Callithrix jacchus: one gene and its partner. The protein of the gene in region 1 interacts with the protein of each later gene in a biochemical or structural test. Links are inferred from orthologs where the notes say so. Each region holds a gene or a part of one and is shown in the gene's direction. Other genes may lie near its edges.

Region 1 (3,796 bases):
CCAGCTAATTTTTTGTAATTTTAGTAAAGACAGGGTTTCGCCATGTTGGCCAGGATGATCTCGAATTCCTGACCTTGTGATCTGCTGGCCTCAGCCTCCCCGAGCGCTGGGATTACAGGTGTGAGCCACTGCACCTGGCCCAGCTCTGCCTTTTACCAAAACTTTTGTGTTCAGGGAGCTTCTCTGTGCAAAGCCCAGGGCTTGGTGCTGGGGCCAGGGTAGGGTAGTTCAGGGCTTGGTGCTGGGGCCAGGGTGGGGTAGTTCAGGGCTTGGTGCTGGGGCCCACAGAGGCACAGGAGTCTTATCTCTGGTGGTCCAGCTGGGTGCTGGGTCCTGGATGCCCCTGCCAAGGGGCACAGAGCAGCTGCTTGATTCAGGATTGGGATGGGGTTGGAGGTGGTGGCCGGACACTTCCCCAGGTGGCCCTGGGATTTTACTGGAGCTGCCCACCTGGCCTCCAGATTGGCAGGAAACAGTGGCTTCAACCTGGGGGCAAGACTGTAGGGGGAGGTGCATGGGGTAGGAAGAGGTCAAAGGTGAAGGGCTAGCCCACTCCCCCTCTGGAGTTTCTGGTGGCTGGACTGGTGGACACTCGGTCAGGCGGAAAGCGTCAACACCAGCTTGGGGCGACCCCAGGGTGACAGGTGTGTGATCCCCATTCCTCACTTTTCTGATCTGCTGTTGTGCCAAGGGAGGTGGTAAAGACGGAGCCAGGTTGGTCCCTATTAGGGGCAGGGGCTGGGAAGAGGTGGGTAACTGGGGCGTCCTCCCCCAGCTCCAGGTGGCCCAGGATGACTGTGAGGCCTGTGGGCCAGAGGCCTGGGCTGCTGTCCTGGCTGTGGACGGATCCTCTGTTCTGTTTGCACTGGAGCTCTTGTCTGGGACGAGGACTTTATTTCTGGAAACTTGTCTGACGAATTCAGATAGCCCTGATGGGGAGCCAAGCGTCAGTGGAGAGCAGAGCCTGTGTCTCTGTCATCTGGGATGTCTCACAGCCCTCCAGGCTTCTTGTTAGAAGTCCGGAGCTCTTGCCCCATGCTCTTGTGGGTGTCAGAAAGTTGTAGATTATCCTGCAATTTCAGTGTGTTCCGAGAGGGTGTGATTCCTGCTCAGAGGTTCAGGAAACACCAGCAAGGTCCACGGTGGGCTCTTCCCTCCACAAGGGGGGTACTCCATGCAGGGGGCGATGGGGAGATCTTGGTTCCCTCAGCAGGGAAGGCCAGTCCTCGAGGGCACCTGGGAGTCCCTGAGCTTCTCCAGCCCCTGGGGGTTGGGTCCTGTTTCTCGCTGAATAAAAGATAAAAGACATGACACACTGGGACTCGGTTTTCAAAAGGCAATGTGCCTGGGTTTCTGTGATAGCTGCATGAGGGACTCAGTCCCCTGCCAGGGTCTAAAGAGGAGCCTTTGACTATAATCCCTGGCCAAGTCACGCCTGAAGGTCTGGCTTCCACTCCTGGCACCGTCAGGGTCTGGGGGGAGGTCTGACTGGGTTCCTTGACCTTCATGAAGCTGGCGGGCCTGAAGTGACCTGGCTGTGCCCACCCCCAGGGTCATCCACATTTGGGTGAACTTGAACGGGTGCCCGAGCAGGTGTGGTTGCCTGGCTTCCCACAAGAGGGCGCTTTCTCTTCTGACGTTTTTGGCCTGATTCTTTCCAGCCAGGTGGTAGTGCTTTCTTCTCTGTGCAAGGGAGCTCTTGGTGGTAGTTTATTTAAACTATGTAACATTGTGGTTAATGGTTCTCTTTTGTGTGTGTGGGCGGGTGGGGCTGTCATATTGTCTTTGGGGAAAGTTTCGTTGATCTAATCAATGATTTGGTTAATCAGTAATCATTATTCAGTTGATTCCAGTATGCCCCCCCTGTAACAGGAGCCCATGTCCCCCCGCCCCAGGGACATCTTCATCACCAGTGTGGATGCCGCCACCACCTTCGAGGAGCTCTGTGAGGAAGTGAGAGACATGTGCCGCCTGCACCAGGAGCACCCACTCACCCTCAAGTGGGTGGACAGCGAAGGTAGCCCTTGTCCCGCGTCGGCCAGCGTCCTCAGCCTCAGGGACTTACTTCGCCGGGAGCCTCTGTGTGCAGAGTCTGCTCAGCCTCTTCTGTGGGGAGACTTAAAACCCTGAAATTAAGCTTGTTGAAGCCGAAGTTTCCCCAGCGGGGATGGTGGGAAAGAGGGTGGCCGAAAATGCTTAGAGCAGACCTGTGCCCAGATGCCGCTTGGTCACCAGGAGGGGCTGCAGGGGTCTCCCTAGCCCACCCCCTCCTCTGACTGCCCTTCTCATGTCCTGGGCTTTTCCGTAGGTGCCTGTGTGAGGACGGGCTCTTCATTTTCTCTATTATTCTTCTCCCTAACATATTCTATCACACACAGGCTTTTCATTTTCTGGGGACCAAGGGGAGGGCACATGCATCCAGGGCCTGCAGGCTCCATCTCCTCTCTTAGTCAGACACACATCCTAAGAAGCGAGGGGATTGGGAGACGTGCAGAGAGACCCCTTTCTCCAGGGACCGGCAGGCAGCTGTTGGCCGAGGACACGGCAGTGCAGGCGGAGCCTGATGGCGCTCCTGTTAGGTGGGGTGCAGCCCTGCAGGGGGTGGGTTCTGTACCCCGCCGTGTCCCTGTCCAGCCGTAGAGGGCGAGGAGCTTTCCCTCTGCCCAGGAGAATGTCCTCAGATCTGCTCACTGCTGAGCCCTCCAGGCAGCGTCCAGAGCTGTGGGTGGACTGACTTCCCTTCCCGGGTATGGACTCTGACACGGCATGGGGGCTGGGTGACTCTGAGTGTGGACAACTGTCCTTGGACCTCCCAACTCTGCCAGAGGTGGCTGGTCTGAGCAGTGAGACTTTGCCCCCAGACTCTTATCCAGTGTGCTCAGGGGGCCTGTCACGGCCCCCTTTGCCTCAGGCCTTCAGTGACCTCAGCACTGTCTGCTGCCCTGCCCAGGTGACCCTTGCACGGTGTCCTCCCAGATGGAGCTGGAGGAGGCTTTCCGCCTGGCCCGTCAGCACAGGGACGAAGGCCTCATCATCCACGGTCAGTGGCAGGGTCTGTGGTGGGCGGCTCTGGGGGGCTGTTCCTGGCTGTAGGTGTCTGCCAGACCACCTGGGGGGTTGGAAGCCATATAGGATCATGGTTTAAAATCCCATGATGCCAGAGGCTTTAGGGATGTCTAATGTAATGCCATGCAGTTTTTTTGCTCTTTGACATTTTATGAGCCCAAATGAAAACTGCTCTTGTGAAGAGCCCGTAAGCTGCTCAGAGGCTCCAGTGGCCAGCGTGGGGCCTGCAGATGGTGGGGACGGCCCCACCAGCCACCTCGCCTGCCCCGTGCTCTCTGGGCCTGTCTGCAGGTTCACAGCTGTCCTCAGCTTTAAGTTCGAAGCCCCATGATGAGCTGATACATGGGAGATGTGACTTGTCATTTCTACTGCCTTTGGGGGCACTTTAGCTGCTCCCAGTCCTGCCGGGGGTCTATGGGGCGTCTGTGGGGCCTGCTAGTGTGGTTCCAGCAGCTGTGGCCAGCCAGCCACATCTGTGTCCACTTCTGGCTGGCCACTGACCACTGAGCTGAAGATGGGACGAGAGCTGGGGCCGCCCGCAGTTCCTGCAGGTCCATCATTCTCCTGGACACCAGGCTACTTAGTTACAATACTTAATCTTTGTAGCCCTTTACATCTATGTGGATTTAGATTTAAAGCTTAGTGCAGTGCCTCATGCCTGTAATCCCAGTACTTTGGGAGGCCGAGGTTGGGGAAATAGCTTCAGCCTAGGAGTTCGAGACCAACCTGG
Region 2 (4,534 bases), on another chromosome or scaffold:
CACTCTATCCCAACAAAATATGCACGGTGCAATTTTATAACTACTTTAAAAAAAGACTTTTAACTGGAACGTGTGGAGCCTGCCGTTTGCAGAGCTGACTGTTGGCGTATGTAATGTTTCAGGAAACCACTGAAACCCCAGCAGAAAGAGCACAGAACAGAAGGCCGCCTGCTGCTGCTGTCACTGTGGTCTGAGGGACGCTCCAGTGCCCAGAGCCCAGCTGCAGGGACATCAGCAGGCAGGAAGGTGGCTCCGCCTGTGGAGTCACGGAGATAAAGCCAAGAGATATTTTGGAGAAGAAAAGCTGTTTCTGATGTTAAAGCAGGTATCCAAAATAGGACCCAGTGTTCCAGCTTCCCGGCCTGGGCTTGAGTGACTTGAGCTGGGACCCGGGTGCACCTGCATTCACTGTCACCACCCGTGCTCCTAGGGCAGCTGTCCAGCCTCCCACACCCACTCGCTCATCCTTGACTTAAAGTGAGGTTGTGGGGACGGAAAAATCCGAGAAGCACACTTTACCTCTGACACCCTTTTCCCTGCCCCTTCTCACCTTCAGCCTCAAATTCCTAGAACCCTCCTGCCCTCTCCACTTGAAAATCTCTCCTGAGGAAAGGCCCAGACTAAATGCTTTGTACCATCGTCTAAATATTTCTCTTCAGTTAAGCAGCATTTGAACACAGTTGCTAAATCTTCCGGGTCTTCCGGGGAGGCTGGTTTTAGGCCGCAACCCCGACCCCCGCTGGAGCCGCCTCGCAGCGCGGCCCGGACAGCGCTCAGTCCTCTCCCTCACCTCCTGACGAACTGTGGGTCCCAGGCTGCCTCCGGAAGCCCCGGGTCCAGATCCCTGAGTGGGGGTGCAGGTCAGGAGGAATGCGGGGGCTCATTCGGGGACTCCCCACCTCCTCCTCCTCCTCCATCAGGTGACCGAGAATCCAGGGAAAGATCTCCCTGACCACCAACTGTGTGTGCAGGTCAGTTTTTCTGTTTAACAGTAGAGTGACGAAGACCACGACGCCTCCGTGCCGCGGGACCAGGCGGCTTCCCCGCACCTGGCGCGTTTGGCTGTCTTGTCCGCGCGGACTTCCTGCGCCCCTCCTGCAGGCGAAGGTGCGCTCCCGGCGCCCAGCGGAGCACCTGCCGGCCGCAGGTGGGCCTGGGCGGGGCTGCAGGGGAGGGAGGGCGCGCCTGGGAGGACCTGCCCGCTCCTCCCGCCTCCAGGGCGGGCTGACCCTCCTCCTGCAGGGTCGGGGCCGCGCCAAGTCCTTCAGCAGTTTCTGGGGTTTCCAGCCCCTGAGGACAAGGGGAGATGCGGCCTCGCTCCCCTCCGGCAAGGTCGGGGTCCGGGTGAGTTCGGAGGCCGAGCCACGGGGGAAGGGTCTCGGGCGAGGCTCCAGGCCGCCCCTTCTCCGAGGCCCGACCCTGAGCGTGAATCCCGTGCGACCCCCCCCCCCGGCTCCGAACTCCGCGTGGGCAAAGCGGGCCCGGGGGCCTCGGAGCTTCCCGGGAGGCCGCGTCGGGGGTGGGGGGACGGGCCCGGCGGGCTGGGCCTGTGTTTACCTGGCGCGCAGGAAGCCCGGGGAGGCGGGGCCGGGAGCGGAGTGCGCGCCCGTCCCTCGGAGCCGCCTTCAGTCTCCGCCGCCGCGCACCCGCGAGAAGCCGCCTCCCGCCCCGGCGGCCTAGGGCTCCCGACCCCGGAAGGCGGTGCAGGCTGTCTGGGGACCCCGCGAGCCGGCGCTTGAAGCCGGGACCTGCGCGCCCGGGCCTGGGACCCCGCGGCACCCCTCGGCCTCTGAGCAGCGAGCGCAGCGCCGGTGAGTGACCCTCGGGGGCGGGTGGGGGGCGGCTCTGGCGCCTTTGTCTCCGCGCCCCTCCGAGCGGGGACCGCGGAGACCTGGGCGGGTACCCGGGGCCGATCCCCGCGGGAGCCGTGGACTGAGAGTTGGGAACAGGAGCTGTCCCGGCGCCCGGACTCCGAGTCCCTTTCTCGGCCGAGAACGCGCAGGGGGAACCTGGGCAGTAGCGCAGGTGACCGGGCAGGTGGCAGCCGGGGGCCCCTGACCCGAACCCACGGCCCTGTCCCCGATCTCTACTGCGAGGGGGCGGGCGCGGGTGTAGACTCGGGTTTACTGCGCCGGGGTGGGATCCTGACAGGTGTCCAGGGTGGTCTTCAGCCAGGCCCGGCGTCCCGGGGTCGTAGAAACCGCTGGGCCTCGGGCCCCGGGGCTGAGGGGAGGAGTCTCGGGTGGGAGGGACGGCGGTCAGAAGCGGCCACTCAGGTGCGGAGAGGGTGCGGGCGGCGAGGGCGCGCTGGGGGGTCCTCCGGGCGCCTGCCAATCACGTCCCGGCTGCTCCCCCCCGAGGTGAAGCGCAGTTTCCCTCCGAACTCCGAGAGCGGCGGCGAGAGCCTGGGTTTGGGCTTCCGCCTTCTCGCGGCCTGTCTCGGGCTCCTCGGCTGGCCAGTCGCTGCGCCCACCTGGACCCACGTGCGCGCCCGCAGCTGCCGGTCCTCCCTCGCGGTGCTGAGCGCTGGGCTCGCGGGGCCGGGGTCTCCCCGGCTGCCCCTCCCGGGCCCGACGGCCTGTCCTGGGCCGGGGGCGTGGGGTGCGGGGTGCCCCCGAGGCCGGCGTATGTGACCGCGCAGTCATTTGCCGCCACCCTAGGTCTTCCCGGGCGCCGGGGGCAGCGCCTGTGCCCTTTCGCGTCCACCTGAACCCCCTGTTTCGGGAGGTGGAGTGGGGCTCGGGAAGGGGTTCAAGTGTCTTTAGGGATCCCTGTGCGACTCTGCCTGGAAACAGGCGCGTTCTGGTTCCTTGTTCCGTTTTCCGATTGCAACAACGTGAGAATCAACAAGTGCTCGGCTTCTCTGCGGGTGGGTGAGGGGCGCGTGGCTCGCCCGGCTTTGGGAGGGCGTGGACTTCGTTCCTGGGAGGTCTCTGCCTCATCTTGACCGCAGAACGCCCCGCCTGGAGAGAGAGCTTTTCAGAGGAAGGAAAGGTCAGGGAACAGCCAGTGTGTGTTTTGGACATTTTATTTGGTGAAGCTCCGGGGGATGGGTTAAGGAGGGTCACGCTCATGTTAGGGACCACATGGATGGAGTAGGGTCCTGAACTGAGCTCCCTGGCGGCCACCTCCAGCGATGGGTGCCTCCTTAGCCTCCTTAGCGGTTGGGACCCCGGGCTATGGATACGGCTCAGAGCCTGGAACCCAGCAGCCCTTCAGTAGAGGAGGGAAGGCCATGATCTGAAACCAGGCCGGCAGCCAGGGAGGGGATGCTCCCACGAGCCAAGGGATAAGGCACCACGCCAGAGGCTTTTTTTTTTTTTTTTTTTTTTTTATCAAGTGGGTTAAACAGAAACCTGAGTGAAAAGAATCCAGTTAAAAATGGTTGTAAATGCTGGAATAACTCTCAGGGAGTTAACTGTTCTCGAACAACCACCTCTGTTAACTCCGGGTTAAACAAAGCTATTCTGTTGTCATCTTCTTTGAAAACTCTCCAGAAGTATCGCAATTCTGCCCAGCGATAAGGAAGTGAAACATGCGTCACTTGATATAGATCTGGCAGCTCGTGGCTCCAGCTTGATTTGAAACGTCCGCTTTGAGTGTGGTGGGTCCCGGCTGTGGGCACTGATGAAAGGTGGCCACCGAACGCTGGGGGGAAAAGAGACCAGCCTTTCTCCTGACGTTTCTATTTCTGCCTGAATTTGTAAATGTTAATTGTAAGTTATTTTGTTTGACTTTTATCCCCAAGTTCTTTAAAAATACAGAAATTATCTGGGCGTGGTGGCAGGTGCCTTAATCCCAGCTACTTGGGAGGCTGAGATCTCTCGAACTTGGGAGGTGGAGGTTATAGTGAGCTGAGACCATGCCATTACACTCCAGCCTGTACAACAAGAGCAAAATTCTGTCTCAAAATAAAAAATAAAAAAAAGACATGCTTAAGATTAGCAGCTGCCTCTGTGCCTTTTCTGACCCCAGGGAGTGTTTATCGAGCACTTGCACATTGCCAGGCTCTCTTCTGAGAGCTGTTTGTCACCTCAGTTAACAGTTGTGATGGCCCTAGATACCCTCATTGGAGGTCACCGTGCTTTTCATATCTTCATTTTGACTGATGAGGAAGCAAGGCCCAGAGAGGTTAAGTTAGTCTAAGGGCACCCAGGAAGAGGCAGGATTCTGCCCAGGGAGTCTGCACCAGCGCCTCACTGCTGCTCTGCCCCGCTGTGGTGAACAGAATGCCTTGCAAAGGTGCTTATCATTCCTCCTTTTAAACTTCCACCCCTAATGATGAGTGGCGTGCACCCAGGGATGTTTCCTTTCAAGAATCATTTGACCAAAAGGTTCCTGTCATCCAACTTTGTTCATGATCCTCTCCTTAGCTTTCTTAGTTGCCAATGAAAAAGAAAGTATTCTAATTACTAATTACTCTTTTTTTTTTTTTTGGACGGTGTCTTGCTCTGTTGCCTAGGCTGGAGTGCGGTAGTGTAGTCTCAGCTCACTGCAACCTCCACCTCCCAGGCCCAGGTGACTTTCCTGCCTC

What was found.
Region 2: of the proteins of PRKCZ (region 1) and MBP, one has a biochemical effect on the other in vitro, tested with the Homo sapiens proteins (2 studies listed by BioGRID). The link is inferred for Callithrix jacchus from reciprocal best matches to the Homo sapiens genes PRKCZ and MBP.

Annotation. Positions count from the first base shown.
Region 1 is NC_133508.1:40,123,829-40,127,624, forward strand, and holds part of PRKCZ (protein kinase C zeta type), read left to right. Parts: intron 1-1,872; coding exon 1,873-2,017; intron 2,018-2,950; coding exon 2,951-3,040; intron 3,041-3,796. UniProt on the Homo sapiens protein: Calcium- and diacylglycerol-independent serine/threonine-protein kinase that functions in phosphatidylinositol 3-kinase (PI3K) pathway and mitogen-activated protein (MAP) kinase cascade, and is involved in NF-kappa-B activation, mitogenic signaling, cell proliferation, cell polarity, inflammatory response and maintenance of long-term potentiation (LTP).
Region 2 is NC_133514.1:119,560,761-119,565,294, reverse strand, and holds the start of MBP (myelin basic protein), read left to right. Parts: upstream 1-1,627; 5' UTR 1,628-1,811; intron 1,812-4,534. UniProt on the Homo sapiens protein: The classic group of MBP isoforms (isoform 4-isoform 14) are with PLP the most abundant protein components of the myelin membrane in the CNS. They have a role in both its formation and stabilization.